4 linked regions of the Lepisosteus oculatus genome follow. The protein of the gene in region 1 binds, or shares a complex with, the protein of each later gene. Links are inferred from orthologs where the notes say so. Each region holds a gene or a part of one and is shown in the gene's direction. Other genes may lie near its edges.

What was found.
Region 2: polr3f (region 1) and polr3g share a complex: the UniProt entries of both Homo sapiens proteins name them as parts of the RNA polymerase III complex. The link is inferred for Lepisosteus oculatus from reciprocal best matches to the Homo sapiens genes POLR3F and POLR3G.
Region 3: polr3f (region 1) and polr3c share a complex: the UniProt entries of both Homo sapiens proteins name them as parts of the RNA polymerase III complex. The link is inferred for Lepisosteus oculatus from reciprocal best matches to the Homo sapiens genes POLR3F and POLR3C.
Region 4: polr3f (region 1) and polr3k share a complex: the UniProt entries of both Homo sapiens proteins name them as parts of the RNA polymerase III complex. The link is inferred for Lepisosteus oculatus from reciprocal best matches to the Homo sapiens genes POLR3F and POLR3K.

The regions. Positions count from the first base shown.
Region 1 is NC_090712.1:581,238-588,809, forward strand, and holds the start of polr3f (DNA-directed RNA polymerase III subunit RPC6), read left to right. Parts: upstream 1-4,115; 5' UTR 4,116-4,247; coding exon 4,248-4,303; intron 4,304-4,926; coding exon 4,927-5,044; intron 5,045-5,520; coding exon 5,521-5,588; intron 5,589-6,234; coding exon 6,235-6,302; intron 6,303-7,310; coding exon 7,311-7,423; intron 7,424-7,572. Other genes in the region: dzank1 (double zinc ribbon and ankyrin repeat-containing protein 1), read right to left, coding at 1-99, 773-926, 1,426-1,534. UniProt on the Homo sapiens protein: DNA-dependent RNA polymerase catalyzes the transcription of DNA into RNA using the four ribonucleoside triphosphates as substrates.
Region 2 is NC_090698.1:72,665,276-72,673,249, forward strand, and holds the start of polr3g (DNA-directed RNA polymerase III subunit RPC7), read left to right. Parts: upstream 1-4,864; 5' UTR 4,865-5,587; intron 5,588-5,703; coding exon of another isoform or gene 5,704-6,145; exon of another isoform or gene 6,146-6,505; intron 6,506-6,936; exon of another isoform or gene 6,937-7,974. Other genes in the region: acyl-coenzyme A thioesterase MBLAC2, read right to left, coding at 2,057-2,442, 5,704-6,145. UniProt on the Homo sapiens protein: DNA-dependent RNA polymerase catalyzes the transcription of DNA into RNA using the four ribonucleoside triphosphates as substrates.
Region 3 is NC_090722.1:7,225,619-7,233,523, reverse strand, and holds the start of polr3c (DNA-directed RNA polymerase III subunit RPC3), read left to right. Parts: upstream 1-4,745; coding exon 4,746-4,880; intron 4,881-5,148; coding exon 5,149-5,343; intron 5,344-6,307; coding exon 6,308-6,560; intron 6,561-7,036; coding exon 7,037-7,216; intron 7,217-7,898; coding exon 7,899-7,905. Other genes in the region: rnf115a (E3 ubiquitin-protein ligase RNF115), read right to left, coding at 477-592, 828-921, 1,117-1,189, 1,629-1,697, 2,067-2,245, 2,606-2,663, 2,863-2,921, 4,655-4,732. UniProt on the Homo sapiens protein: DNA-dependent RNA polymerase catalyzes the transcription of DNA into RNA using the four ribonucleoside triphosphates as substrates.
Region 4 is NC_090714.1:15,977,037-15,985,097, forward strand, and holds polr3k (DNA-directed RNA polymerase III subunit RPC10), read left to right. Parts: upstream 1-5,232; 5' UTR 5,233-5,272; coding exon 5,273-5,404; exon of another isoform or gene 5,405-5,457; coding exon of another isoform or gene 5,458-5,568; intron 5,569-6,347; coding exon 6,348-6,435; intron 6,436-6,626; coding exon 6,627-6,754; 3' UTR 6,755-7,284; downstream 7,285-8,061. Other genes in the region: uncharacterized protein, read right to left, coding at 224-605; snrnp25 (U11/U12 small nuclear ribonucleoprotein 25 kDa protein), read right to left, coding at 2,987-3,044, 3,391-3,465, 3,731-3,836, 4,157-4,247, 4,512-4,733. UniProt on the Homo sapiens protein: Core component of RNA polymerase III (Pol III) which synthesizes small non-coding RNAs using the four ribonucleoside triphosphates as substrates. Can mediate Pol I proofreading of the nascent RNA transcript.

The DNA.
Region 1 (7,572 bases):
AAGTTGTCTTTATCATCTTCAAGTAAGGCTGGGTCATCAGGAGGAGGAAGATACTCTACCAGGAAGAACTTGGTGACGACTGCACTCTCCCTGCCATCCCTGAAACACAACGAGAACACGCCGTCATCAGCACCGCTGTACGTGCAGGGCTGAGGAAGCTCAGCTTCTTGGTGACACCACGGTGATCAGATGCCCCTGAAACAAACTGCACACACAAGACATAACAAAAATATTCTACTTGGAAACACAAAACTTTGTCAAATTCAGCACTTAACTAAAAATCTGAAAGCAGCAAAGCAAAGTTTTACATGTTAGCCTTCAGAAGGCTGGTATTTAAATTGCAAACAGCTGCTGCAGAGAGAGTGTAAGAGTGTCTGAAGGCTCTGGACACCTCAGTGACACAGGTACATTCTAACTGCACTCTACAGAAGCTGGAAACTTCAAATCAGGGTGTCCACATTGAGCCTCCTGCACCTTTGCTAACTTCTTTGACTAATGCCCAGTCCTTGCTTGTTGCAATCAACCACTTTCAGGCTGCTAGTTAACAGCTGATCCTCCTTTGTTTTCTAACATCATTATCTCCCGGGATATAAGCAGGGCAAGGCCAGGTCAGTGCTAGGATGGGAGGTATCAGGATCAAGCTGTTACTGGAGGTGTCAACCAGTAGGTGGCGCTATTTCCTCTTTTCTCTCTGAATCAGGATTTCTAAACCAAACTTCCTGGTTCGGTGGGAGGGGGCCAGAAGCACCCTGGACCTTCCTTTGCGACCCACCTGCTAACAGCGAGTGCTTTCACCGTTACCTTCCCCTCAGGTAAGGCTACGGGCCCCCGGTATCGCAGTGTGCTGCTCTCTCCAAACCCCGGCTTCTTCAGCACCTCCGGTTTACTGCCGTCCAGGGTGAAGAAAATACTGACGTCTGGGGTGTCTGTGAAGGAGACGTGCTGTAACCTCGTCAGCCACTCAAATTTGACACACCAGCCTAGTCCCTCATATTCCCCTCGTCGCGTAGAGAAAACCCTGAATCCCATTTGCCATCCCTTCCCTGCAGAGAGTTACAGGTCTGCTGGCCAGCACTGCCTCTGCACACGGCCTGCAACTCCAGCTGAGGAAGTTCCATTGAATTGGATCAATTCGTTTTGAAACTGATTGGTTTGTTTTAGTGGGAGAGTGACCGACTGACATGTGGAGGATATCCTTATATAAAGGTCAGTTTCTACAAGGTACAGCATTATTATCTACCTGAGAAAAAAATTGCACAACATTATCAGGACATCACTGCAGCCTCTGGCATTTCCAGTGACTTGAATAACATGCTGGAGGATGTTCAGCAAGACAAGCAAAATCCCAGAAAACACAGCAGCTCCCCGGCAGGACGTCGATGGTTCCACGATGAAGACTTTGGACCTGGTGCTCCTGGCTCTTACCTGACTTGATCTCCACGGGTGTGTTGGTGTCTATCTGGTGCTTGGCCTTGCCAGGCAGGGGAATTCTGATGGGAATGATCTGAGGTGCCACGATCGAGCCTGCCGTCATGTTCACTCAAGAAAACGACAGCTCTGTCGAACTGAGCCTGGAAAAGTAGAAGTCCAGTCAAATATAGATGCATAGTTTTCATGCACTCAGCAGACAGTGACGCAGAACAGTATATGTCTATAATACAGCGTCTCATTTGTGATCACTCATGACTACAGGGCAGGTCTGGTTTTTCGTCTATTTTCCATGCAGAAGGATCCATTCTCTCATTTTCGGAAAACTGCTTCTGGTGAGAGCAAGGCTAGTACCCCTTTTCCCAGGCCAGTAGAGGTGCTGAACCAGATCCCAGGCATGAACTGCTCTTGTCCTGCTCCAGAAAAACACAACTCTCTCCACAGAAACCCAGACACCCCCTCCAAACCCCGAACCCGAACCTCTCCACTAGCTGTGCCTGGGTATCCTGCCCAGGATCAGAACTAGACAGAACACGCCCTGCAGCCAGCGCAGCAGGAAGCTGTGTCTGCATCCCAGAGGACAGCCGGAGAGAGGAAAAGCTCATCCGGACAGTGAAGCCGGAATGTTGACCTCCATCCTGCAGCCCCCACAGGGTGGGGGTCACAGCCTGGAGTCACAACCTGGAGCGCCAGCCCAGCCTGCACCCCTCCGGCCTGGTGTCTTGAGCCAGGATCTAACCCTGGGCTGCATTACACAACACTCTCGGACCACGCATTGAGCAGTCCTTTACATGCACATGCAGTGTGGGGCTCCTGAGGGCAGATACAGCAGCTGTAGGATATTCTACCTGCTGATCAAAGCGATTGGCTGTTTTGTCCTTTCTTTTTAAATAAACCATTTGAACCAAAACGTTCCAAACCTATGATTTAATGCAATTCATTTATATGACCGGCACACTCAAGGCAGCATGAAGGAGGCAGATATTTACCATGTATGATTGAAAACTACTCACAAGTTACTCAGGTCTAGATCGCTCTGTGTAATAACAATAAGAACAACAATAATAATAATCCACTGGAACCAGTATCAGTACAGAAAACAACATCTTGCTACACAAAGGGTCCAAAAGGATCGTTCAACACAGGAAGAGACCCATCACGCCCCTCACTGAGTTCAGCTACCGAATTAATGAGAGCGTGAGGGTTGTGAGACTGTGAAGACCCAGAGCGGAACTTAGCCCGAACCTGAGGGTTACAGCCCTGCTCTTACACACAGCGCTGGAATCTGTCATGAACAAATGAACAAGCAGTCAGGACTTCACTCAACGTCACACAACGGGACACGCAATTAAAGACCTCTTTTTCTGATCTTAAGGCTATTTAAAAAGAACTGTAATTGGAAAACTGTCGGGCTACCTCTGAATCAGTTTCCGATCAATTTTAAGCGTACAAAAAACACGACAAGTGTGCATTCTTATTCCAATTACCAGCTGAAGGCGAAACAAATCCTGGATATGGATTTAAGGTGATTTCACGATCTTTCCATTCGTCCCCCGCACGAACTGCGATGATGTATATTTTAAAATCCCAAGAAAAAATAAATTGTACCTATTTAATTTAATATCTGCACATATACAATCAATCAATGACCGGACTGTGCAGTCGCGCTCCGCACCAGAATTGCGTGCAACCAGCTACGCTACGGTAACCAACACAACAGCGCAGCTCAGAATCCCATTGGAGGACAGCTTGGCCCCTAGCAACCAGCGGACCAATGGCTGCTAAAACAGCAAAGCTCGGACACCTAATGTAAAAGCTGCATTCACATGGAGTGGAAACCTATAATAATAATTGCTTACACTTATATAGCGCTTTTCTGGACACTCCACTCAAAGCTGTTTACAGGTAATGGGGAGTTCCCTCCCCCACCTGGATGATGCGACTGCAGCCATAGTGCGCCAGAACGCTCCCCACACACCAGCTATCAGTGGGGAGGAGAGCAGAGTAATGAAACCAATTCATAGATGGGGATTATTAGGAGGCCATGATTGGTAAAGGCCAATTGGAAATTTGGCCAGGACGCCAGGGTTACACCCCTACTCTTTTCTAGAAACGCCCTGGGATTTTTAATGACTACAGAGAGTCAGGACCTCGGTTTTACGTCTCATCCGAAGGACGGCACCTGTTTACAGTATAGTGTCCCTGTCACTATACTGGGGCATTAGGACCCACATAGACCACAGGGTGAGCGCCCCCTGTTGGCACCACTAACACCTCTTCCAGGAGGTACTGACCAGGCTCACACCTGCTGAGCTTCAGTGGGTTTCCAGTTGTGAGTTGCAGGGTGATCTGGCTGCTGGCTATTGAAACCTATTCTTGAGACTAATAACACAAATATCATCTTTAAATCACTAATTAAGCCGATTAAACCTAAAGATCAATTTAAAAACATATATTCTAAAAATGCATCTCATGTATCTGTTTTACAAACGTAAAGTACATCACGTATATACAATTGTATTACAATTAAATTATGTCTGGGTGTTTAAATAGTCTTAATTTCTCGTGCACTTCAACATAAAATAAAAAAATATTTGAAAGATTTCCTACGCGGTATAGGCTTTTTAACTTCACGTTTTGGTCAGGCACTCAGAGAGACTACTAAAACTGCGACACGAGGTAGAAGGACCCCAACCTTTTCGGAAATGCAGCATGGTTACCACCTAGAGAAGCTGTGTTGACATAGAGGTGGTGTTCCGGAGTTCATCGTGAATTAGGGATTACTGGATAGTTCAGTTGTGTTCTTCTGTCAGTTGAACATGGCAGAAGTTAAGGTAAAACAAGAATCTGCGGATCCCGTGGACATTGAAAACAGGTTAGGTTTGTCTTCTTTTAACCGTATGTCAACACGAAGTTAACAAGACAAAAACGCTCAAGAAACGTTACACACCGTCTCCGACAAAAAAAAAAATATTTAGGCTGTTACGTTGATTAATAAAGTGTTCAAGTCACGTGGTTTTGCCTAGCGCCATTTCACCTTAGAATTAGATTATTTTAAAAATTGAAGTTCGCTGGAGCTGAAAGTGTCGCGATATTCTTAAATGCAGCGACCTTTGTAACTCGTGCAGTTTTGAAGATACAAGTTACAATAAGACAGTTCACGAACGAGAGGTCATGGGCTCTGTGTAGATCGTTAGGACAATGGATTTGATCGATCTTAGGAACTCGTCCAATAGTTTCTGAGAGCAGGGAAGGCTATGCGTTTCAACAGTAGATTATTTTAGGTCTCCTTTTATATGACGTGTACCGAGTTGTTGTAATGTCTTGCTGGGTTCTGCTTGTCTAAGTGTTGGATAATTTGTCCAAACCAAAACTTTGTATGCAGTCCTTCAAGGAGCTTTAAATACGGCGTGTTGTACATTAAACACGTAGAGGACAACTGAGAAATGACAGCATGAGAACCTGGATAACTGACCCTCAGTCATTCCCGACTTCCAGAATAAAGGAGCTGTGCCAGCAGTTCCCGCACGGAATTACAGACCAGGTGATCCAGAACGACATGCCGCATGTGGAGCCACAGCAGCGGGCCATGGCCATCAACAGGCTGCTCTCCATGGTACATCCCACAAACCCTCTTTCATTGCTGTCAGCACACTAGCTAGCGCTGCGCTCCTGTCAAGGACTGGGGAGACCACGCTGGTTTAGAGGAAGAGGAATGGTTTGTTTCCAAACTATTTTCCATTTCATTCATTAGTTACTCATTTATTTTAATGTACAATGGTTGGTATTTGGCAGATTATTAAGATGCCTTTAAACATCTTTTTATAATCTCCTGTTATTGGAACATTGTGATAACTATTCAGTTATTATGTGGGGATCGTAAACTGAGCCTTCTCCTTCTTTCTTTTCACCTAATACTGCTGTTCTCAGACAATAGAAAGACAGAGGACCTAAAATTGTACATTCAATGCAGGAAATTAATAATTGACACACAGGGAAACAAATCTAAGGAGTTTATTCCATGCTGAGAAGCTGCTTGATATCTGTTTATTGGATGATAAATATGTAAGATTTGTCTCTTGTATCTTTCAGGGTCAGCTGGACCTCCTGAGAAACAGCAATGGTCTTCTGTACAGGCTGAAAGACGCACAGGTGGCCAGGTGCTCATACCTTTTACCTCAACACCATTGGACGTGATAGACCCTGCTTTGATTGAACTAAAATTGGAGATGAGCAGTTTTTCTGTAGAAAGCTGAAGTTGTATTCCAGTCTGAGAGGGTGACATTTTGGCGCTGTACTGCTCTGCCATAGAAGGACTTCTTTGTGCACACAGAAATTATTTCTAAGCAGTTAGATATTTCTTCAACTGTGTGGTATTTAGTGTAATCACTGTAACATAACTCAAAAATGAGAGTTGTCCAGTAGGGTAAAAATGTTTCTCATGATTATGTAGCAGTGTTCAAGAGGCTCGACAAACTAAGTGAACCACAGATTTTCTGCCACCTTAGAGTCTGCCTAGAGCTGTAGTGACCTTCAGTCAAGGAAATAGGTCTTATGCGTGCAAGCTGAATTTGTGATTCTCTTTGTAATGTAAGGTGGTCAGCATTGTATAATGTCTTCTCAGTGAGTTTAAAGAAAATGCACTGTCTGTCTGTACTTACACTGATGGACACCTATATCGTAACATTTTGCATTTGGTTATATGATTAAATTGAATATCAGTTCATCATCATTCATGTACTCCTGTGTGCTAGTGATTTAAATCACATGCTAGTGATTTAAAGTGAAATTTCCTCTTTTCACCAGTAAGATGAAGGGCTCAGACAACCAGGAGAAGCTGGTGTATCAGGTCATAGAGGATGCCGGAAACAAAGGTGAGCTTTCTGCTGTGGAAATCAAAATCTGCTCATTTGCACATGTGCTTCACCACATTAACGGCAACACTGCTGCACTGCTGTAACTGTAGACGTTACATTAATTATCTGTGTAGGAGATGAAGACATGAGAGAACAGGAGGTTAAGCAACTGTAATAACCTCTTCATATGGAGCAGTTGTTTGCCTTGAGCCGTTTGTTTTCCAATCACTTCTTCAGATTGACATCAGGAGTTTGTTCAGCTGAAAGCCACTGCCTACCTGTCAAAATCCTTAATATGTCCCATCATTATCATTGAACGTCATAGTCTGACTTAGTTATCTAGAGCACAAATGAAACTGGAGCACTGAGGCCGCGAGTGGGGTAGCATTGCTTCACAGTTCTGAGTGAATCGGTGGGCTGCACTACTGCTGTTCTTTGAAAGTGAACGAGTACAATGCTTCAGTTTCATTGGTTCATATTTGCAGACCTCCATGGACCTGAGTTTGTCATATATTTTCAGTGTGTTTTTTGCATTGCATTATTAATAATCTTTGGTTAAAGAGAATCACAGAGAACATACCTTTAGTAAGATTACACGTATTAAAACTGTTACACAGCTTGTCTATATTCATTGCCACTTAGAAGCTTCACCTCCTCAGGTCTCTGAAGCTAAGCAGGGCTGGAGCAGGTCAGGTAGTACTGGGATGGGGCACACTAGGATATTCAGGTTTCTGACAGAAGTAACTCTGGGGCACCACCAGGAGGCACTAATTCATCACAAACAGAAAATCCAAACCAGTAGCTCAGCATGGCTGATGTCCTTAGTACTATACGTGCAGTGTTGGGCTCTTTGAAAAGAACTAATAACTAAAACTGTTTTATTATTTACCAACATGCCCAGTGTCTTCATTAAAGATAGATCTTTAACTCAAAGATATTTCTAGTGGAAAGGAATTTTGATTACAGTGGTCTTTGTAAAATAAATTTGTATTATAAACACATTTATCGTTCCCTTGACTTTGGCAGGAATCTGGAGCAGGGATATCCGGTACAAAAGCAACCTCCCTCTGACGGAGATTAACAAGATCTTGAAGAACCTGGAGAGCAAAAAGCTCATCAAGGCTGTGAAGTCAGTGGCTGTGAGTGGACTCTTCTGGATCATCTTTGGGCCAGGTTTCTCTCACTGCCCAGGGCAGTTCTCTGAAGAAGGGCTGGACAGTTCTTGACAGTTCTTTTCCTTGAGGTCTTCTAGTTTGTTTATGTAAACAAAGTTTAGTAATGTGTTGGT
Region 2 (7,974 bases), on another chromosome or scaffold:
CAGCTTTATATGATGTCACATACGACACTACTGCCTACTGGAGAATCAGTGTTGATTGGAGGTCGCCTACAGGACTGCATGTCTGTACGAACCCAGAAGGCCACATAGGTCGCCAAGAGCCAAAAGTGCCCTGGCCAAGTAGCCCCACCCTCCCCTTGGTGGTGCTCAGCAGAGCCAGTAGTGTGCCAAAACTCTGTCGGGCTTGAACCCGTGTTCAAAGAGCAGCACCTGCCCTAGGGCAAGAGCCTTTACCAGCTGAACCTCTCAACTGGCCACAATGCATGTAAGTATATTTAGAAGTCCGCATAAAAACTGGCTTTGGTCAAAGCTCAAGAAAGGTATTTTCGTAACACAAAGATGGTGACTCAGAAAGTTAAATTCAGACGATTGTTGAGAGAAGTGTCAGCACAAAAACAAGGTGGCCAGTAAGAATAAATGTGATTTTGCAACTAATGCTCACAAACATGCATGATCTTTGCATGTTACTGAATTCCAGATCTGAAAAAACAAATATTGCAATGCTCAAACTGTCCTCTGCTGTATAATTAAGTGTGTGACAGTGTTCTTGACACATCTCAGAAGCTAAGTGAGCCTGGGCCAGGTCAGTATGGGCATGCCCTCTAAAAGAAAAACAGCTGCTCTAAGAGATGTTAGAAGACCAGTAGGTGGTGCCGATTCCTCTGGACCTGAATTCTCAAACCGGTTCCTCAGTTTGCGGGGACACCGTGCTATAGGAGATGGTGTTTGAATTAAACAATTAAACTGACGTTCAGACTACACAGTCACTACAGATCCCATAGCTCTGCTTGAGAGAAGGAGTCCTTCCTAAACTCCACGCTGCGTTTACACAACATGTCCTCCTTAAGTCAATTCTCTCATTAGTAAAGTACTGTGGGATTCTTTGGAATGGTTAGAAATACTGTTTTAATGTTTTAAAGTCATCTACTAAAAATCAGTGCCTTCTTATGAGAAGAACTAAAAATTCCCTTTAACTAACCTACATTCAAAAACAAGAGGGGTGAAGCTCTACTTTAAGTGGAAAAAGGGCAAAAGTAAGCTCAGGGGTCAGGTGTCCAAGTGTCCAAGTTTACCCCCATCACAGCACAGGACAGGTTTTCTAGCAATTATGACCACCTGCCTTCTCGCGTCATCCAGGGAAACACAAGTTAAGTTGAAGTTAAACACTCAAAATTTGAAACTCAGCATCAAGATTGCACAGAGATACAAAACAGAAAGAATCTGAAAGAATCATTCTTAACTGAATAAAATTGGGTTGGTAAACCACCCTGAATTGCCACTAAGCCAGTCAAAAGCCTACAAGTGCTTTAAAAAAGTCCTTGTCTTTGCTTATGATACTGTGGTATGAGTGGCAGCATGCTGGAGCAGTGGACTGTGCCCTCACTTCACAGCTCCAAGGATCTGGGTTCAAATCTGGCTTTGTGTGAGTGAACAGTCCACCTGTGGGGCCTGTTGTCGTGTTCTCTGAACACTTTCCTCTCCACCCCAGTAAACATGCTGCCCAGGTAAATTATCATCTCTAAACTGCCCCATGTGTATGAACATGAGCCCAGAGGCACACCAGGGTCCTGTCCAGCGTCACGGAGCTCTGGACACACAGCGGCCACGGAGACCAGATGATGGACGCATCAGTGAGATCATTCCATCTTCCACAACAGCAAACCAGCATCAGCCAAAATAAAAACTTGCTTCTCCATGTCTCACGTGAAGACGAAATTCCCAGCAAATGATATGTGCTCCGCCACTCCTCGTTTCATGCTTTGGAAAGCTACAGAAAAAAATGCAAACGTGCTTCAAGTATGTTTCTTTGTACCTCGAGGCTTAAAGCTATACACTCATCCATGTGCAAACCCAAATCATTGCATTTGCAACACGCACACATTTAAGAATCAAAACTAGTGCAATAATTACCATTTCAAAGTCAAAATTAGTGCAACTGCAGTACTGGGCTAAATTTTACGAACACATTTCATCAATTGAGACAGTTAGCATAAACAAAATACTGTAAACGTATAAAGCAGCCGTTTGCCTTTCCCAGTCAACACCCGTGTCTAGAATTGCAGGCACGGAGAACGAGGCTTGCGACGGACTTCAGGGCACACATGGAAAACCGGTGGCACCCTCCCGCGCTGGCGATGTAGCTGGAGGCGATGCGGTACAGCCGCTCGGCCCCAAAGGTGTTGAAGTGGCCAGGCAGCACCTGCTCCACGTGGCCCCCGTCCGCCAGCTCGACCAGCCGCTCGCAGCTGGAGACGTAGTCGCTGACCCTGCTGTACGGCAGCCAGTCGATCATGGAGCCGTCGTACACCACGTCCCCGCTGAAGAGCATCTTGCGGTCCCTGTCGTGCAGGCAGATGCTGCCTCTGGAGTGGCCGGGCATGTGCAGCACCGACAGCTGCCTGTCGCCCAGGTTAATGACGTCTCCTGAGGAAACAGCAAGAGCACCTTCTTCAAGGAGAACTGCAGTCCCACTTTCTCAGACCTCTAGAACAACTCGGAGCCGTGGTAGCGCAGACGGCAAGGGCGTCTAGCTCCTGACCGGAAGGTCCCGGGTTCAATCCCAGGTAGGGTTAAGCGATGTAGCTTGCCCTAATTCCTTCCAGACGGCTCCCAGCTCCGCTCAACCTGCGAGTACCGGGGTTAATCCTTCCGGGGGAAATCGGTCAGCCGGAGCGTGATGCTGACCACATCACCTCCAGTGTCGGATGGTCAAGAAAAATGGTGGCCCTTGCCCCCCTATCCCCAATGGGCCTTTATGGCCTGTAAAAGGACCTACCTACCTGTAACAAACTAAATCAATCGACAGTACAGAAGAAAACTCACAAATTTCAAAGTAAGCACAAAACCGTGCATTCGGAGTCGCCGTGTTGTGGCAGACCCCTGGGAACTTATTCGAGTCCCCAAGAATTGCAACGTGAACCGGCCCTTCCTGCTCACTAGTTCCTGCCCTGACCAATGCAATGCGATGTACGAGCGAATAAGTACAGGTAGCGCAGCCGACATTTCACCGCAGAATTATTCCAGCGTGATCCCCATGCAGAGCTAACAAGCAGTATTTGTCTGCAAAACTGTCTCGAAGTTGAGACAATATTTCTATCGGATGAAAAGAGCTGTATGCACAAGCCGGCTTATTTACAACGTAATGGGGCCACATCATCTCACCACAAGTTTTGTTGCCTCGTTGTGAATGGCAGGACAGGGCACTGCACATACCTGGAAATTTCATGTATTTTGTGATGTCAATTGGAGGTTTTACCAGTTACTGTGTACATCAATGCTGACCCCGAAATATGAAAATAATGTTACAGTCCCCCTTTAATATTACTGGTGGGCTGTGAAACTTCTCACGGACACGCTGGAAGAAAATCCCTGGGAAAGTTTGAGTCATCTCAGGGAAAATGGAGGCTGCTTAAGGCTAGGAACTACGGATGGTTATTCTATGGATAATCAATATCCCTCAGTTTTCCCTATTAGTGTCAATAAAACATGATGTCACTTTTCCTTTCCATCTAAAGCAGGGATATTTTTTCCACATCTCAGGTTCCACAATCTAGTAGAGCAGCCGTAGGCTCTGTCTGTCTTTCTACAGGAGAAGCTATTCCGAGTGGGTCCCAGCCAAGTCACGTATTTCAGATGTGTTAGTTCATTAAGAGAAAAGACTTTTACAGCAACTGCTGCTTTGAAGATGTGCAATACTGATGTCACGGTATCACAGCTGGGCACTTTCCTCATTCACACTCTCTCATGTTGTGAATATAAGGTACAGGAAGAACAGCTTACTATCCACAGTAAAGGATTTCCATTTTACTAGTTGTTATTTTACCAGCTACTTGCATGCAAACTTAATTTTCACTTCCAGTTCATTTTCTTAAAATCCTAATTACTGCCTTCTTGTCCACTTTGATTTCGTTTTTGAGGATTTTTAAACACTGCATGTGAAATTAATGAATTAATGTATTTCTGAAGACAGTATGTGGGTTGCAAGGTAGTAGACATCTCAGATTGAACCCTGCTGAGAGTATTTTCAAAGTGTCCAAGTCTTTCACTAGTTTTCTGCTTATAATAGAAGGGCAGAATGGTCAAGGCATGAGAGACTGACCTCAAGTCTAACGTCTGAATATGTGTAAAGGTTAGTGCATTCTTTCGTGTATCTCCCAAAAGCTTTATAAAAATGCCACTTCTATACAAACCCATGGTCACATTGCAAACTGTACTGGTTTTGACAATGACTCTCGTCATTTTGTACGTTTCCCGTTGTAAGTGAAATAAACTCATGTAGGCTCCCCATATACCAGAAATAATTTCTGATATATATCAGAAATATCAGCGCTTGCAGATTTGTCTCTTTCAGCAGGAACGTCGGTGTCCTGCAGCTGGGTGTGAGAAGAGCTGTGCCGAATCGTACTGTGCCAACAGTGGGATCACTGAAGTATCAGTGAGAGGACAGAACAAAAGCGCTGCTGTGAAGGTCATGTGCGAAAATATCAGGCCAGAGTCTCCCAGGTCCAGTTACTCTGTTACCGGAACTGGCTGAAATCGATCCACAGCGGCCCGACATCGCCTGTCCCGGTCTGCCCGGACGAGGGACGCCACAGAACTTGCGCAGTCCCGCCGGGACACCCCCCAAAACACCCCACTGCCACGGCGCGATCACCTGTTCACTGCGCAATAACCAGCTCCTGGTTAGGAATAATAAAGGCAGACGTGCAGTTATTCCAGTAGTATCTCCCCGTAACCCCAGAGATATAGTTCTCTCAGAGAGTCTAGGATATTTAATTGGGAACGTGTTTTTTTCTGCACCGCCGTGCTTTGACAAACTTTTGGGCTACAGTGTTGCGCGGAACCAGCAGCAGAGCGAAGAGGCCGTTTCAACCCCCCGAGCGCTGCTAGTTGGAGATACAGTATTATTCCCTCTCTGGTGTCTTCAGGGGGGTGGAAGATTGTGACTATAGTGCAGGCAGTCTGTCATCCTTCTTGTAACGAATCAAGGAGGCGGATGAATCTGTAGAGATGCAGTTCATCGGATTTGGGACCGATTACGCTCCTTAACGCAATTTTCTCATTGCTCGTCTAGAATAGCAGTGTGTGGTACAGGAGTACTTCGACCCGGTACCAATGCTTTTATTTGCTTCATTGGCTATGAGCCCTAAACGTCCAAATCAATCGGAAAGGCACAGATCGCATAAATACACCGAGCGCAAGATTGTGTTCTGGATATCTTTTCCGTTTACAAAAAATACCCCCAAGCAACAACGTTAATGAAATAGTTTATTAGAGATATAACGCCGCACGTCTGTGGAAACCTATGTTTAGTTTTTGATAATACTCAAGCTCGTCTTCTCGATGCGACACCGGAAAAACGAGAGCGCAGCCTGCGCCCTCCCCCACCTTCCTCGCCGTATGGCGTCTTTAAAGCTCACTCCGTCGGGCCGAGAGACGCTGAACGTACCTCCAGCAGGGCGACAGATTAGCCCTGCTAATGCGAGACGGCCTCTGTGTAACTCTGCTGTTAATTAAGCAGATGCCACGGGTATTTTTCGCCACTTGTTGAAAACCGGTGTCCGGAACGGTAAGGCATTAGTTTACCTTATCATAACGCGCAATATGACCACGCACCGCACCGTCGCCGTCCCTTTCACGCACAAGCGGCTCTGGTGCATGCCTATATGTGCTAGAGATATTCACCTTCTTGCAGTACGCGAGTGGGTCGCACAGCCTGCACTCTGAACTCGCTGGCCCGCCAGCCGGGTGTCGGAGCCCGGGCGATCTCGCCGTCCGACAGCCAGGTCACCATCTCAAAGTTATCCCCCGTGGCGAGCGCGTCGGCCTCGGCTCTGTGAACCCCCACCTGGCGAAACTGGTGCAGCCCGCCCGAGTGGTCAAAGTGGACGTGGGTCCCGATCGCCAGCGGGGGGTTCTTCCGGCCGGACTCCTCGCCCAGCAGCCCCTTGGCGCGCAGGTAGTCCGGCAGGCTCCTGAGGCCCAGGCCGGCGTCGATCACCACGTCCTGGTGCGACCCGCGGACCAGCCAGATGTTCGCTCTGTTGCCCGACTCGTAGAACCTCTCCTGGATCCAAAACACGCCGTCGCCCAGGCACTTGTGAGCGTACCACTCCGTCGCAGACATCCCGACACCCGCCTCCCACCCACGCGTAATAAAATAAAGACACCGAGCTGTCAGGGACGTGGAGCCCCGAATCCAGACTCGGTCCGGTCCGGTGAGGAGGCGCAATGCAAACCAGGGTTGGCTTGTGCAGAACAGGAGGAGACCGCGACAGGCGCTCAGCCTGCAGGGAGAAAAAGCAGCTGAGTGGATAAACAAGGTCCGAGGGGCTCGTGATTGGCTCGGACCTGCGACTGCGCCCCTCCGACACGCTCCGGCCACACCCGGCGGCTTAAAGGCGCAGCCCTCTCCTGCTCGGTGCGGACTGCTGTCCCTGAACCAAAACCAGCCGGGATCCCGCCTCCTCGGTGTTGGCTTTGCGGAGGTTTCCTACTTTCAGGACCTCTGAAGCGCCTGACAGACGGGAATATAGTTGCGCTTTTGTTTCTAGTCGGTGTGAACGAGAAGCCCGATAATATCATTCTTTCCAGAAGACATGTAGTAGTAATACACAGCATATAATGGCATATGACCGATAAGGAGAATATATGTCCTGTAGTCAGAGGGCAATGAAAATGAAATGTTAATAAATTGAGTTATAGTGAAGACCCGCTCATTTCCTATCAAAGACCCTGTAAAAGCTGCTGATTGTATTTGAAAGGGAGGTGGGTCGCTCCAGAATACCGAATATAACGTAGAAAAAACAGGCTTCTGAGCTCCACGACACATTGTGAACCTGCTAAAAATATTATTATTATTATTATTATTATTATTATTATTATTATTATTATTATTATTACGGGGCCATGCTTAAAAACAATATTAAATTATGTTGCAGATGCATTGTATGGTTTCGCAATGTTTTAAGGCTATTTTCTTCACGTTCTTTAAACGCGTGGTTTATTATCTGAAGTGTTTATGTCACGCCGGTGTTTTTTTCCCCTTAGTTTCAAGTAGATTTCTAGGTGAAAAATGTTTTACCGTATTAATTATGACTAATTCGTTAGTTTTAGTTCACTAATCTGGGTAGGTTTTCATACAGAGAAGTGTTTATCACCCGTCTCCGAATTAACAAAAGTTAATCTCTTTAAATTCTGCCGAGCAAGGGAAACGCAGTACTAAGGAATCTCTTCACAAGGCACCTGTGGCCTCTCAGCTATGTGTTTCAATACACTGGCAAAATCTGACTTTTTTCATCCTCAGACTGGTAAAGTAACGTGCTAATTGCCCTTACTATGAATACAACTTACCTATGGGGCGTTTACGTGACACCCTGGTATTCACACTCTGTATACTGATTTAGGTCTACCGTTTTATTTCTTTGCCTGACTCCAGCATTGCTTGTCCAGCTTCTGCTACTGTAGCTGCACTGCCATGGTATTACATTTATTTACCTGCCCCGAGAGGCTATACGAAAGGATCCGTTTTAATCTTGAACAGAGAAACGTTCAAAGCAGGAGGCTATTCGACCCACCTAGTATTGAGAACTTGATTCCAGTATTCACAATTCCCCGATGCACTGACAAAGACGGGGACCATTGATCAAAATCAACAGCAAAACACCAGTGCAAATTAAGTGCGTCTATGGGAGGGGGATTTAAATCTAATTACAGGGGGGAATATTTACAGAAAGGGCTGTGGGGTCTGGAATAAGCCGCCCAGTCATGTTGCCAGAGCCGACAACCTGACTTCCTTCGCGAAAAGGGTGGACCTTTGTATCAATTACTTACGAGCAACCGAGCTTGTCATCAGAAAGGCCGAGTCGCCTCCTCCAGGCTGTAACCCGTCTTATTTTCTTACCTGCATGCTCCAGCACGAGTGCTCTCTGCACGTACACTTAAAAAATAAATTAG
Region 3 (7,905 bases), on another chromosome or scaffold:
CCTGTCTCGCATTCAGGACAACCTCTCTCTGCCTGTCTCACTCTCTCCCTGCCTTTCTTGCATTCAGGACAATCTCTCCCTGCCTGTCTCACTCTCCCTGCTTGTCTCACTCTCCCTCTGCCTGTCTCGCATTCAGGACAATCTCCCCCTGCCTGTCTCACTCTCTCCCTGCCTGTCTCGCATTCAGGACAATCTCCCCCTGCCTGTCTCACATTCAGGACAATCTCTCCCTGCCTGTCTCACTCTCTCCCTGCCTGTCTCACATTCAGGACAATCTCTCCCTGCCTGTCTCACTCTCTCCCTGCCTGTCTCACATTCAGGACAATCTCTCCCTGCCTGTCTCTCTCCCTGCCCCTCTCGCTGGGACAACCTGCGGGTCCCTTTGCTCTGTAAAGCCCAGTACTTACCTGTTTGCATCCGTCAGTCAGTATGTGTGTCAGTGTGTGTGAGACAAGTGTCCGTCTGTCTGTCCTCACCAGTTCCAGCCAGGGTACGATGCAGTCGCTGTGGAAGAAGTGATTACAGGGCAGCTGTCTGACGGGCTCCCCCAAGGCGTAGTCCTCTTTACACACTGGACACTCCAGACTGGACTCTGGGGTAAGACAGAGAGAGAGGAATCACACTGTCTGCACACACTGGACACTCCAGACTGGACTCTGGGGTAAGACAGAGAGAGAGGAATCACACTGTCTGCACACACTGGACACTCCAGACTGGATTCTGGGTGACACAGGAATTACACAGCCCTTCTCACCATGTCTGCAGTCTAAGAGGAAGCAGGAGAGGTGGTGAAGTTACTGATACTAATAACGGGCAGCTTTTCTTACCGACTTGTTCCTGAGAGACATGCACTGTGGGCAGAGACGAGATTTTCTCCTTCTCAGCGGGCGGGGGACCAGTGTTCTCAAACTGACCCAGCAGCTAAGACAGGACAGTATAGTATTAGTATGACAGAGCCTTATCCTGACAACTCTCTGACACAGTGAGGCGAAGGTAGGGGACAGGGCAGTGGGACTCTAGTTCAGTCCTCACATCCAGCTCTGTGCGATCCAGCTGTACAGTATATTACCCACCAGCTCAGATGATGTCATAAAGGGGTCCGGTGATGTCACTCACCTGCGTGATGACAGCGTCCAGCCCGCCCTGACCCCATGCATAGTCCCCCGGGTTCGAGTGCAGCATGCCCGTCCTGGGGGAGATGGAGAGATCGCTGTGAGACTCCGACACGTTCCTCTCTGTGCCATCACCCCTCTGTGATGACCGCAGGGACGCCGGGGCAGAAGGGAGTAGCTAGTGACCGCAGGGACGCCGGGGCGGAGGGGAGGAGCTAGTGACCGCAGGGACGCCGGGGCGGAGGGGAGGAGCTGGTGACCGCAGGGACGCCGGGGCGGAGGGGAGGAGCTGGTGACCGCAGGGACGCCGGGGCGGAGGGGAGGAGCTGGTGACCGCAGGGACGCCGGGGCGGAGGGGAGGAGCTGGTGACCGCAGGGACGCCGGGGCGGAGGGGAGGAGCTGGTGACCGCAGGGACGCCGGGGCGGAGGGGAGGAGCTGGTGACCGCAGGGACGCCGGGGCGGAGGGGATTAGAGACTGCAGGGTGTCACACACTCGGAGAGAAACAGGATTTACCAGGAGAGAGGCGGCGACCCTGGGACTCCGGAGTTAGCGAACAGACCAGCCAGGAACTGCTGCACAATTCTGGAGACAAGGAGAGAGAGGATACTGATCTTACTGACATGTCTACAGTGAAAGCAACACAGAGACAGATATCTACAGAAAGGAGGAGGAACTGTGGATTTGGCAGAAATGCTAGGATCCCACCCTGTCCCTCTGGAGTCCACCCACTCAGGGGCAAAACACCAGCATCCCACCTCCAGTACCCGGTGGTGTCTACAGCACTACTAGACTGACTGCAGGGTTACAGAAGGTGGTAATACAGGATTAAATGTTATTAATTAAGCTGCGATTTCCTCCTGTTAAGCCTCTTCTCCTGCTGCTCCGACCTGGGACCTGGGAAGAGAGGAGCAGACAGAGACAGAGAGCACGGTGCAGAGGACAGCCCCTCACCCCTCCACGGCGGGCGAGCGGTCGGGCCGGCTGCTGCCCCGGGCCCGGTACCGGCGCTGGCTGTGCAGGCGGTGGGGCCTCCCGGGGCCCCAGGGATCGGTGCTGCCTGGCCGCTCAGGCCCCTCCTGGCTGTCCTGCTCCAGTGAGAAGGGCCGCTCGACGAACAGCAGGTGCCAGAGCTGGGGGACAGAGGAGAGCCAGGGGAGAGAGTCAGGTCACAGAGTTCATGAGCGCACACGCGCGCGCACACACGCGCACACACACGCGCACACACACGCGCACACACACGCGCACACACACGCGCACACACACGCGCACACACACTGGAGACAGAGGAGAGTGAGGGGAGAGAGTCAGGTCACAGTGTTCATGAGCGCACACACGCGCGCACACACACTGGAGACAGAGGAGAGCGAGGGGAGAGAGTCAGGTCACAGTGTTCATGAGCGCACGCGCACACACTGGGGACAGAGGAGAGTGAGGAGTGAGATCACAATGTTTGCATGCATGTACATACACCAAGAAAAGGAGCACAATACCTCTGCAAACTGTGAGGCTGCATCATCGTTGATCCCGCTGGCGCCGCCCTCCAGGAGACTGTGGGAGTACAGACAGGGCTAATCAATGCCAGAGTCATCATGTGACACACACAACAACACACGGTGACACACGCAACAACAATGACAGAACACACACTGGTCACCATTAAAAATCAATACAACAGGGTGAGGAACAACATGAGTGCCTACTTTAAACTTACAATACAGACTGTGGTCTGTGAAGAAGCAAAGCCTACCTGGAATCCTCTGTGACCTCCTCAATGAAACCAGATTCACATCTGGGACAGATATATTCCTGAAATAAAGACAACAGCAGCTCTTAAAAACAGAGATTGTCAAGCACTGACAGAGCAAGTACCCCGACTGACTGTAGTTACTGCACACTGACAGTACCTGTGACTGACTGTAGTTACCGCACGCCCATAGGATGGCTGTAGTTACCCGAGTGTAGTTACCGCGCACCGACAGGACGGCTGTAGTTACCCGAGTGTAGTTACCGCGCACCGACAGGACGGCTGTAGTTACCCGAGTGTAGTTACCGCGCACCGACAGGACGGCTGTAGTTACCTGAGTGTAGTTATTGTGCACCGACAGGACGACTGTAGTTACCTGAGTGTAGTTACTGTGCACCGACAGGACGACTGTAGTTACCCGAGTGTAGTTATTGTGCACCGACAGGACGACTGTAGTTACCTGAGTGTAGTTATTGTGCACCGACAGGACGACTGTAGTTACCTGAGTGTAGTTATTGTGCACCGACAGGACGACTGTAGTTACCTGAGTGTAGTTACTGCGCACCCACAGGACGACTGTAGTTACCTGAGTGTAGTTACTGCGCACCCACAGGACGACTGTAGTTACCTGAGTGTAGTTACTGCGCACTGACAGGACGGCAGTGGTTTCCGGACTGTAGATACCTCGCACTGACAGGACGGCTGTAGTTACCTGACTGTAGATACCGCGCACTGACAGGACGGCTGTAGTTACCTGTATAGTTACTGCGCACTGACAGGACGACTGTGGTTTCCTGACTGTAGATACCGCGCACTGACAGGACGGCTGTGGTTACCTGTATAGTTACCGCGCACTGACAGGACGGCTGTAGTTACCTGACTGTAGATACCGCACACTGACAGGACGACTGTGGTTTCCTGACTGTAGATACCGCACACTGACAGGACGACTGTGGTTTCCTGACTGTAGATACCGCACACTGACAGGACGACTGTGGTTTCCTGACTGTAGATACCGCACACTGACAGGACGACTGTAGTTACCTGACTGTAGATACCGCACACTGACAGGACGACTGTGGTTTCCTGACTGTAGATACCGCGCACTGACAGGACGGCTGTGGTTACCTGTATAGTTACCGCGCACTGACAGGACGGCTGTAGTTACCTGACTGTAGATACCGCACACTGACAGGACGACTGTGGTTTCCTGACTGTAGATACCGCGCACCGACAGGACGGCTGTAGTTACCTGTATAGTTACCGCGCACTGACAGGCTTTTGTTATCTAAACAGCAGCAGGTCGTCTCGACGGTACTTGAAGTCTCCACATCAGGTCCCAGACTGATTCCAGCACCGGAACGCGTTTCCCCAGACTGACAAGGTCCGAACCCACTCCCAGACTGGGCTGTCTATGACCCCTGTCCTCCAGCCGAGAGCCGTGACAGCTCAGTCCCAGCTGCGGACTCCCGCAACCCCTGCGACGGACGCCGCTCGCCGCTGACCCCCGAAGATGACTGACAACAGCCCGGCGGGTCTCTTCCCCTGCCCTCGAACAAACCCCCGAAATATGAGATGCACACCGACACCCGCGGGAGCGGATCAATAAATAAAATCCGAAACATTCCCTCCCCCCTTCCGCCCCCCACCAGCTAAAGCCAAACAAGGCCTGTAAACAAACTCGGAGTGTCAAGCACAGCCCCGGGCTCGAGTGCGCACCGCTCACCGCAAAAGGCGCGCCTCCGCCCGGCCTGTCTCAATCAGAGCAAAGTCGGTGGGAACCGGGACTACTCACCGGCAGCTTGGGGTTCACCTCCCCCTTACAGCAGTGACAGAAGAAACGATGTTGGGGAACAGCCGCAGCCTCCGCCATCTTCCACTGGAATATGGCACAAACAGTGACGTCGGTCCTCCAGCTCACGGAAGGAGGCGGTCCGCCACCGGCCCTGAATGCCTCTTGCGGGACTAGACCGAGATTTCATCCCCCGAGAAGACCGATCACAACCGGAAAAAGCCGAAGGGTAAAGGCCGGAAGTGTGTGGGAAGGGAGGGACTAGATTCGCCATCTTTGTGCGGGGCAAGGCAATAGCGGAAGTAGATGGCGCACACGTGTCTTGTCGAGGGAAATGGGAACGATATAAACAAGGCAGAAAGAGTTATATGCTGGGCAAATGCCGGTTAAATAAAAGTCATTGTGCTTAAGTGGTTTTGGAAAGAACCCCTTCTTTGTAAAGCAGCAGGGTGAGTCTTGAGGAGTGGGATTCTGGAATCAGCGCTTTACATCTGTAGGCGCCAGCGGTTGCAGGTCTGTCCCGGCTGGGACGTGTTTCTGTGCAGATGACGGCGCAGGAGGTGCGGCTGTGCGCGCTGCTGCTGCAAGAGCACTTCGGCGAGGTGGTGGAGAAAGTGGGGACGTTCCTGCTGAAGGGGGGTGAGCAGACCCTGAGGGCCATCGCCACGGGGACCGGGACCCCCCTGCACCTGGTAACGCGCTCTCTGACCCTTTACCTGCCCCTGAGTCTCATGGTGTGTCCTGACTTCTCTGGTCCACTCCTCCCGCTCAACCCCTTTACCCTCTCCCATCCTCTCTCTCCCTCCTCTCCCCTCTCTCCTCTCAATTCAATTCAAGGTGCTTTATTAACGTGACCGATGGGTACAATCAGTTTTGCCAAAGCAAATAAAAATAAAATTAACATGGAACAAAACAAAAAATAAAATCTACAAAGAAATTATAAAATATGTACATATACTGTAAACATATTGAGCAGATCACATACTGGGCTGCCAGTTCAACTGAGTTCCCTCCTCCCTCTCCCAGTAGGATTGGGACCCGTTGTGATTCTGGCAGGTGTGGGAACTGTGGGACTAGATTTCTGTATTTCTGGAAGAATGTTTCTCTAATCCCAGAGTATCTGTCACAGTGCAGTAGGAAGTGCACCTCTGTCTCTATTTCTCCCCGCTGGCAGTGGGAGCACAGCCTGTCTTCCCTGGACAGCCAGGTCTGCCTGTGTCCAGGCTGTGGTCACTGAGCCTGTCCTCTCTGGACAGCCAGGTCTGCCTGTGTCCAGTGTCTCTGTCCAGGCTGTGGTCACTGAGCCTGTCCTCTCTGGACAGCCAGGTCTGCCTGTGTCCAGTGTCTCTGTCCAGGCTGTGGTCAGTGAGCCTGTCCTCTCTGGACAGCCAGGTCTGCCTGTGTCCAGTGTCTGTGTCCAGGCTGTGGTCACTGAGCCTGTCCTCTCTGGACAGCCAGGTCTGCCTGTGTCCAGTGTCTCTGTCCAGGCTGTGGTCAGTGAGCCTGTCCTCTCTGGACAGCCAGGTCTGCCTGTGTCCAGTGTCTGTGTCCAGGCTGTGGTCACTGAGCCTGTCCTCTCTGGACAGCCAGGTCTGCCTGTGTCCAGTGGTCTTGTCTTGGTCCGACATGGGGCTAGTGTGTTCCTCTCCCCCCCAGGTGAAGAAGTGCCTGTGTGTGCTGCTGCAGCAGGGCCTGTGTGAGTTCGGGCCGGGCCGGCGGGGGGTGGAGTACAGGCTGCCGGAGCCGCGCGTGTTGGGCCTGCTGCGCTTCCCTCGCTACATCTACACGGCCAAGACGCTGTATGGCGACGCAGCGGAGCTGCTGGTGGAGGAGCTGCTGCAGCACGGCCACATGACCATGAGCCAGGCCGTGCGGACAGTGGCTGACCGGCTGACCGACAGCATGGAGGGTGAGAGGAGGGCCTGTCTGTCTGTCAGCACCTCGAGGGTCAAAGAGTCTGCCTGCCTGTCTGTCTGTCAGCACCCCGAGTGACAAAGAGTCTGCCTGCCTGTCTGTCTGTCAGCACCCCGAGCGACAAAGAGCCTGTCTGCCTGCCTGTCTGTCAGCACCCCGAGCGTCAAAGAGCCTGTCTGCCTGCCTGTCTGTCAGCACCCCGAGCGTCAAAGAGCCTGTCTGCCTGCCTGTCTGTCAGCACCCCGAGCGTCAAAGAGCCTGTCTGCCTGTCTGCCTGTCTGCCTGTCTGCCTGTCTGCCTGTCTGCCTGTCTGCCTGTCTGCCTGTCTGCCAGCACTTCGAGGGTCAAAGAGTCTGCCTGTCTGTCTGTCAGCACCCTGAGCTCCCAATAGTTGTTCGGTCGATGCTGTAAGTTGGGGTGGCTGCGAATGTGGGGGTGTCCCTGACCCTCTGTGCGGCTGTGTGGTTACAGAGGGAAAGAGCATGGAGTACAGCGAGGTGACCAGCGTCTTCTCTCGCCTGGTGGAGACGCACTTCCTGCAGCGCTGCCCCCCAGTGGCAGAGCGCAGCGGCGACAGCGCGGCCTGCCCGGCCCCCACCCTGGCTGATGGCGACAAGGAGAGGTACACCCTGCCCCACATCACCCTGACAGGTAGCCCTGCGCCTGGGGCTGGGGGGGGGGGCAGGCTGGGCTGACCGGCCCCCCTGTCTGTCTGTCTGTCTGTCTGTGTGGGGCTGGGGGCTGGCTGGGCTGACCGGCCCCCCTGTCTGTCTGTCTGTCTGTCTGTCTGTCTGTCTGAGTGGGGGCAGGCTGGGCTGACCGGCCCCCCTGTCTGTCTGTCTGCGTGGGGCTGGGGGCAGGCTGGGCTGACCGGCCCCCCTGTCTGTCTGTCTGTCTGTCTGTCTGTCTGTCTGTCTGTCTGTCTGTCTGTCTGAGTGGGGGCAGGCTGGGCTGACCGGCCCCCCTGTCTGTCTGTCTGCGTGGGGCTGGGGGCAGGCTGGGCTGACCGGCCCCCCTGTCTGTCTGTCTGTCTGTCTGTCTGTCTGTCTGTCTGTCTGTCTGAGTGGGGGCAGGCTGGGCTGACCGGCCCCCCTGTCTGTCTGTCTGCGTGGGGCTGGGGGCAGGCTGGGCTGACCGGCCCCCCTGTCTGTCTGTCTGTCTGTCTGTCTGTCTGTCTGTCTGTCTGTCTGAGTGGGGGCAGGCTGGGCTGACCGGCCCCCCTGTCTGTCTGTCTGTCTGCGTGGGGCTGGGGGCAGGCTGGGCTGATCGGCCCCCCTGTCTGTGGGGCTGGGGGCAGGCTGGGCTGACCGGCCCCCTGTGTGTCCCCCTGCAGGCCGGGG
Region 4 (8,061 bases), on another chromosome or scaffold:
TAACCTTCACCCAGGAGACATGAAGATCTCACCCCTGTTCCCCACAGGTGTATGGGTGTGTGTGATCCACAGGTCAGTGCAGCTCTCTGCCTCCGAGACCCACCAGGAAACAGCCAGCTGCTGCTCTGTCCCCAAGGAACGCTTACTTTCCCTAAGCTGGACCGGACTGGGCTGTATTGTCCCTCATTCTCTGTGCTTAAATTTCGGGGGAGGAGTGCCATACCTTGTTTCTGACCATCTGGGTAGAGGATCTCTTCTTTCCTGGCAAGGAGATCCTCCTCCTTCTCCGAGAGAGCTTCCAGTTCCTCCTCGATCTCCTCCAGCTCCGATTTCTTCCCCGATCCGTCTGCTAGACACCAGAATGCGTTATTTGGACACTGAATGAACAGTGGCACGAGGACAAATTTAACAATCGGCCAAAGCACAGCTCGGGTCTTGGCAAGAAACCTGGCTTTAAAAGAAAATCGGCGGGCGTGTGTGTTGTTAAAACAGCGGGTGCCGGGGGCCGGGGACCAGGGGACCTTTCTTCTTCCTGCCAGAAGGGGCGATGATCTTGGTGTCCTCCTGGAAGCTCTGCAGCATGGACAGCAGCGCTCGCCGGTCATTCAGCTGCTGGGTCTTGAGCTGCAGCCGCCTCAGCTCCTGCTCGATCTCCTGCAGCTCCTGCAGCTCCTGCGGGCTGGGCATGCTGTGGCCACCTCCTGGGGACGAGACGAGGAGCTGAGGGAAAACGGAACGCCGAGCACAGGCCCCTGGGGGCCAGCAGGCTGGCCAGCTGGTTACTCTACCTCGGGCCGCGTGGTCTCACTGCAGCATCGAGCTCAGCAGGGCTTTAATCACAGGGCCCAACATCCAGACCTTCACTGCTGACACAACTCTCCCCCCACCGCGCCCCAGGCAGTAAGAGAAAGAGCAAAGCTCCCAAGCAAACCCTCCTCAGGACAGAAGGCGGACCAGCTTCAACAGGACGTTGAAACCGCGGCGCAGAGAAGAGGCCAGGCAGCCACACTCCGCTTCCAGCCTGGGGGTCGATGGACTTCTGCTCCCGCATTGTTCCGATCAGGGTCGGGCACACCGGACAGGATGCCAGTCCCCTGCAGGGCACACCCATGACCCTAACCAGCAAGTCTGTGGGAGATGAGAAAACTCACCCCACCCCCAGGGAGAACACCCGAAAGAACTGAACCCAGGACCCAAGAGCAGCAGTGAATTGGCAGTACTAACCCCCCCCACCCCGGTGCCAGCTTTCGAAAGTACAGGTTCGTGCCAACAGTGTGCATACCACGTTAACCAGCAGAAACACAGCAAAAAAATCTATACGTACATTCACTGGGAGGCAGATGCAGTTGTCTCAAGTCCATTGTGAAATATAAATACGATCAAATGATTTTTATTTTTGCACTCAAGCAACATATAAGCACACGAAAAGCTTAATTAAATGTATTCCCCAATTCTCCACCCTTCCATCGTACTGTACATCTTCAACAGCGCTTGATTTAATAGATAAAGATGTTTCCATTGCCCAAGACTTTAATGTTCTCAAGTGTTAAATAACCTTTATACACAAAAGCTGAAGATCTCACCTCTCTTCAAGCCAGGCGAGAGAAGCTTGTCTGTGCAACCCGAAGCTCAGTGCAGCTCTGCGACTCCAGGAAATAGACACCTGCTCTTTGCCCAGTATAGAGAGGAGAAAAAACTGTTGCAAACACCATATTTAAAGTATGTGGTATAGTACAGTGTCCTTAACACCTTCACTTATACTTTAAAACGAGGCATGAGATCAGTAAAAACAATGTTAGTATACACATCTTCGGCTGTATAACACACTGCTATATACATCTATGCCCTAGGAACCCCCAAATCCCACCAAATCCCTGTATATATGAAGGATGGGGAATTCAAAGAAGCATCTAATTTGTTTGCTGTAATGTTCACTGAACTGTAAATACCACAGGGGACAAAGGGCCATCTCATCTGCCCAAACCAGGGAACGTCATTGAACAACGCACACTCAACAAGTGGAGCACTGCAGTTTTTTAATGCGGATTTTTCACTTGACAATTTTTTTTTACACAGAGAAATCAATGTACAACCATCTACAAAATGTGAAAAAATACAGTTTTTTATGAAATCTCTATAAAACAAACCTAATGACACAACAGTCATACAAAGCTTTCTCAGTGTACAGAGCTGAACGCTGGAGTGAGCAGAGGTGTATAGCTCTTCAAGGGGAGTGAGATGATCCTCACAGCTCCGTCTCTGCACACCTAAATCAACAAAACGTCCAGAGAATGACACGCTGACATTCTGTTAACAACACTAGCTTACCTGAAACAAACTAGCACTTTAAAGACAGCAAGTCATGGAGTACAGGTTTATCTTAAGTGGGCTGAACTCCGTTCGTTACATCACTGGGTGCAATGTGTTTAACATTCTGCGATACATAATCCACTAGCGTCACCGAGAATTCAAAACAATGTCGGGTTCTGATGTCGGCGATGTAAAACTTCAAAAAGACTCGTAAATCAGGACACACAAACTGCCGGGGCTTGACCAGCACAGTGAGCGCACAGTCGCCATTATAAACTTTCAAAGATCTGATAGACATTTCCTTACAACACTTCATTTTGCATCTTTCAGATTTCCAGAACACGGCTCTGTATCGGTCATTTGGACTGTGAAAAAGCCTTAGAAAATGAGTATATAAAGGCTGAATCAATTCCTCAAGCACAGTGAAGAGAACTAATTTGAATATGAAGACATATATTCAAATGCGGTCTACATTTGAACTTTTTTTTTTGGCTTGGTGTTATTTATAACCCGGGTACCAAACAGGTCAGACTTCAGGAAGCAAGGCACCAGTAGCACCTCAGAAATGCCTGTGTTGCATGCATCCCACAGGGCCGAACTGAGCGTAGAGGAAAAGGAACCCAACTCGGGCAGAACTTCTTAAGTAACTGGTAAATCTGTAAGACGCTACCTTGTTTTACTTTTTCCTCAGTTTCTTGCCAAAAGTCACTTCATCTCTGTTCCTTATGCCGTAACTGTGCAAAGAAAAGAGAGAGAGTTTTCAGGACAAAGCTCTGGGGTTCCACACAAAGAACTCTCTCTGAGCAAACCTGAAAGTGAGGTTATTCCACACAGTTTTACCTCTCAACAAAATAACACAATCTCCACCCCCGCCTGCTGCTGTCTCCTTTAAAACCCAGTAGCAACAAAGCACCTGGGATGGTCTGGTTCGAATGAGCCCTAAACCGATCGGTTATCTGCACATCGCCACATTCTGCGATACATAATCCACTGTTGTGTCCCTCGCTTCACAGCTCACAGAGCACAGACACTCACACTCATCAGCAATGCCAGGGAAGGGGAATGTTTGTTTTTACTTACTCCTTCAGCTTCATTTTGTCGTCTTCCAGCTTCTCCCCGTTGAAGATTAAGTGATAGGTTCTCCACACGTACCTCCTTGAAAAGGCAGAAATCGGAAAGGACGAGCGATGAAGTTTACCTCGCACAATTACGCACAGGATGTGAAAGAAAGATCAATGTTAAAATGACCCTACAGTGATGTCTGACTTTAAAGTAATTCACGCTTCAGCGTCTTATCCCAGAGTTTTTACAAAAAAAGCATGCAGGATCTCTAGTATTTGACCATGTTGTCAAAAGGAAAAATTCCCCCGACTCCAGTCTAGACCGTTTTATTGTATTTTTCGACTGCAGGACACTCTACCAGCTGATGTGCTTCACCCCTCCTTCACGCTGCTGTTTCAGCTCCAGGTATCTGCGGATGGCTTTCTTCAGATCCAGCACGGAGGCGTTCTGCACCACCACGATCGCTGCAAGAAAGCACCGCTGTCTGAAAAAGAATCCCTCCTCTCATTTTCAAGTTTTCTTACGATCTTTAACTACCTCAACCCAGAGGGTCGATGAACCTGTCCTACACGCCTGTACTGAGTAGCTTAAATCACTCCGGAGTCGCTTTCACATCTTGTGGTTCACTAGTGACTGTGAATTCAAACAGCTGACAGCCACTGGGCCTGACCAAGTCAGTGACCCAACAACCCCACAGAGAAGCATCTGGTTGCCTGATTTCCTGCGGATCATACAACAGGTTAAGAGGGGGGAAAAAGCCAAGAAACAAAAACTCGTGACTCACGCATGACCTCCCCGTCGGCCTTGCAGACACGCACAGTCATAGCCTGGCCATACTCCAGAGCCACCTGAGAGCTCACCTCCTCCAGAGTGACCTGGAGTGACAGAAAGCCAGGCAGGAGGGTTCAGCTGTGGAACGCTCAGTCCCGAGTCCCAGAGGGTCGTGGGTTTGAAGGGTTTCAAAGTCATATTGGGTTATTCCCCCACCCCACCCCAGCTTCACAGCTTTCACACTTTTTCTATGCTGCAGCCACACGTGCCCTCCTGTTTCATGTCAGACAGGGATTGCTGCCAAATCTGTCTTGCTGGGTTACACAGCTTATCCAGGATCCAGAAGCCGACGAGGCAGATAAACCAACCTGTATCGGCAGGTCGCAGAGCAGGGGGTCCTGCACTATCTGAGCCAGACCTTCCTCGAAGATGTCCAGGAACTCCGCGTGGGGCAGGGCTTCCTCATCTTCCTCTTCCTCCTCCTCCTCGACTTTTTTGTCCTCCGTCTCTAGCTCTCCGGTCTGGTCCTCCTCTTTCACCGCCGCTCCTGCACCGAGACCCGGGGAACCTGTCTCCACCGCCTCGGCCATCAGCACTCGGGGGGATGAACACACAGCGGGGCCGAGTAGACCTTAAAACAGGCCCTCCATTCAAACCCACACCGGCGGACTGCAATGAACAGACTCTGTGTGCAACATGACAAGGGGTCATCACTCATCACGGCCAGACGAGAAGAATTTTAAATCAATGCTTAATGGTTGCACTGAACACAACTCGGTCTATCATGAATCAACTAGATCAATTCTGACAAGTATATTCACGTCAAGTCCAGTTATTGCAGAGTATTCATCACACCTCCAAAGAAAAACCGCCACCTTTATAAAATGAGACGCTAAATAGCACTCACCACTGCTTCTCCTCCGCTGTCTTCCAAAACGGACGCTTAAACAATTCTCGGGTCCGTTCATTTTCACTTCCCCGGAGAAACTAGGCGACTCTTGTACCTAGGACACTGATACTCACAAATATGGAATATGCCATAGACAAAAAGTAACCTAATACATTTATACATTACCTAATATATTTCTGATTTGATAGTGGTTTAAACTGTTAACAGTTTCGACCACAAATGCGACTCGTTTGCAGGCGCTGTGGGAACTGTCTGAGTCAGGAATTGTTTCCTAGCGGACACTTAAAACTGCGTGACACGGGAGAGTTTGCGGCGTGCAGTTTGAGGAATTCGCGAAAAACTCGTCTTGAGGTTCGAAGACGTCTTTTTCAACAAATACAGTTGTTTTTCTTCTGAGATAGGAGATGTTGCTGTTCTGTCCGACCTGTGGAAATGTCTTGATTGTGGAAGAAGGGCAGAAGTGTTACAGGTTTGCGTGTAACACCTGTCCCTATATACACAACATAACTAGGAAGGTAAGAGAGTCGACAAGGCTCTTGTTACATTGCGTAGGGTCTCTATCATCGTGCCTGAGTCGTATACTTTAGTATTTTAAGACGTTTGTTATATTTTAATAATTGCGTTTGCTCATTGGGTATAGATGCGTCACAAGCAAACATATTCAGCGGTCCAAATTATGATGCAGCTTTTTGCTAACATTGTGTATCATTTTGGATTCATTTCTCTTACATTTTTTCCCCACTATCTCGAGTCAAGCGCAGTAGTTGGGCTGTACCCCCCCCCAGTGGCTGAATCTTCCTGCTGCTCCTCCTTCACGGGGGCAGCCGAATCCTGCGTGAAAGTAAAATCGTTTAATGAGTTTGTGGAAACCTGGTTTAACCCCCGCCCACCCTGGCTGAGGGCTACCCTCCCGGCCATGGGGCGAGGAGACTAAGACCCCATGCCCGGTGAAAAGGTGACCAAGGTGTAGTTGCACAAGCAAAGATGGGGATGGAGGAGTAGGGATGCGAAGCGAGCGAGGGAGACAACAGAGTGGCGTGGGGTATATATGGGAATCTGAGAATTTATGGCAGGATTAGTTGCGTGTGGAGTTTAATTAGTTTAATTTAATGGCGCTATGCGTGCGCCTCCGAGAGTATTCTCATGGGCGAATGTCACCTGAAAAAAAAAAAGACCATCGGGACCCCTATAATCTGGGCGAAAGGTCTAGAAGGTCTGCAGGGCGGGTGGTGCTCTGCGTGTAAGACACCCGTCTTGCTCGTCTTCCTGACGCAGCGTGTTCTCGATGCTGTAGGTCACCAACAGAAAGTACCCCAAACTGAAGGAGGTTGATGACGTTCTGGGCGGCGCTGCGGCCTGGGAGAATGTGGATTCCACTCCAGGTAATGTCACTCGAGAAAGGGGAAAACAAATCCCCGTTTTTCGTTATTCGTTGTCTAGTGCAAATGTGCCGTGGGCCAAAGATGGGGAAAATCCCGCATTTTTCCCGAGGTGTCCAGTGGTGCGAGTCAGGAAGTCCGGTGCCAATCCTACACCATTTTGTCATCTGCTACCTCTGGTGTCTTCTTTCCAGAGACCTGCCCGAAGTGCGAGCACCCCCGGGCCTACTTTATGCAGATCCAGACCCGTTCGGCAGATGAGCCCATGACCACCTTCTACAAGTGTTGCAACCAGCAGTGTGGGCACCGCTGGAGAGACTGAACGCCGCAGGGACCGGCCCTCGCCTCGCTGTCTGATCCCCCGCTGTGTGTTAAACCTCTTAGAACAGGCATGCTGGCCGTCCCCCCCCCAGGTTAGCGGCCATCGGAAATTCTCATGTGTACTCCAAGTGAAGGAGCCATGCTAAGTTTTTGAACAAATAATTAACGGTCCTGTGGCATCTAAAGAATCACTTCGTTGAAGTGATTCAGGATCCCCAGCCGAGATATAGCAAAAACACCGTAGGGCTGCAATTGAAACATGACACTTGTCTGTCTTGAATATTCCCAGGGAAGTTCTTGGTGTTGGATGCTGAAAGGGCTCTGAGGAATGAGCAGACAGCCTGTTCTGTGCCAGACAGACCTGTTGTGGAGTAGCTCTGGTTGTAGTCGTATTAAGCTATTTAATACGTGTATATATTTGAACAAAGTTCACCGCACTGAAGAGATTACCGGGTGAAATATGAGAGGAAATGTGAAGCTGTCATTCTTTTACAGGTCTTGAAGTGAGCAGAATAAAACTGTGTCGAGTGATCCTGTGTTCAAAACCGCTGGTCATTCAGAACCAACATATTCTTAGAAAGCTAAAGGAAAGAGGCTGGTTCTCGCTTTGCTTTTTGTTTTTATTGTTAAAAGAATAATTTAGTATCCAGTGCAGTAGTAGTGGAGCAGCTCGCATGGCTCATCTTACGCAGCAGTGTAATTTACATGGCAACACAGATAGAAACAGAGAATACCGGTGACTGGATTGAAGGTGATCTCATTGTCTTTTCCTAAAAAAATACTTGTGCACTTCAACCCACCTTTAACATCACAGCCTTTCCACAGCACTGCAAGCCACTTCACATTGCGTACAGAGAGGGCTGGAGCGTACAATGTCAAAGGAGGCCAGCCTGCTTTTGCAAAATATCCATAAGAAGCTCGAACATGCACTGCCATGGGACATTTACGATATATCATCAATTCATTTTTACTAGCTGCAGCCGATAGGCTTTTTCAGACTTTGAAACATGCTAGGTAGTTAATAGCATAGTTTAAAAAATAGAAATATACTGGAAATAAACATACCTAAAAAATGTAATTAGAATGGAATAATTAAGGTCTGAATGGCCGACAGAAGCAACAATGTATTTTTCATTGAGTGCTTACTGGCAGGTGGCTCCACGGACAAACCACAAATCTTTTTCTTTACCACATTCAAAAGGTTTTGCACCCTGCAGTGTTCCTGCTTGATATCATTGGGCATTTGTGAAGAGGCTTGATCCTTGACACTTGGTCAAAGTTGCGTAATCCTGCACATTGGTGGCGGTG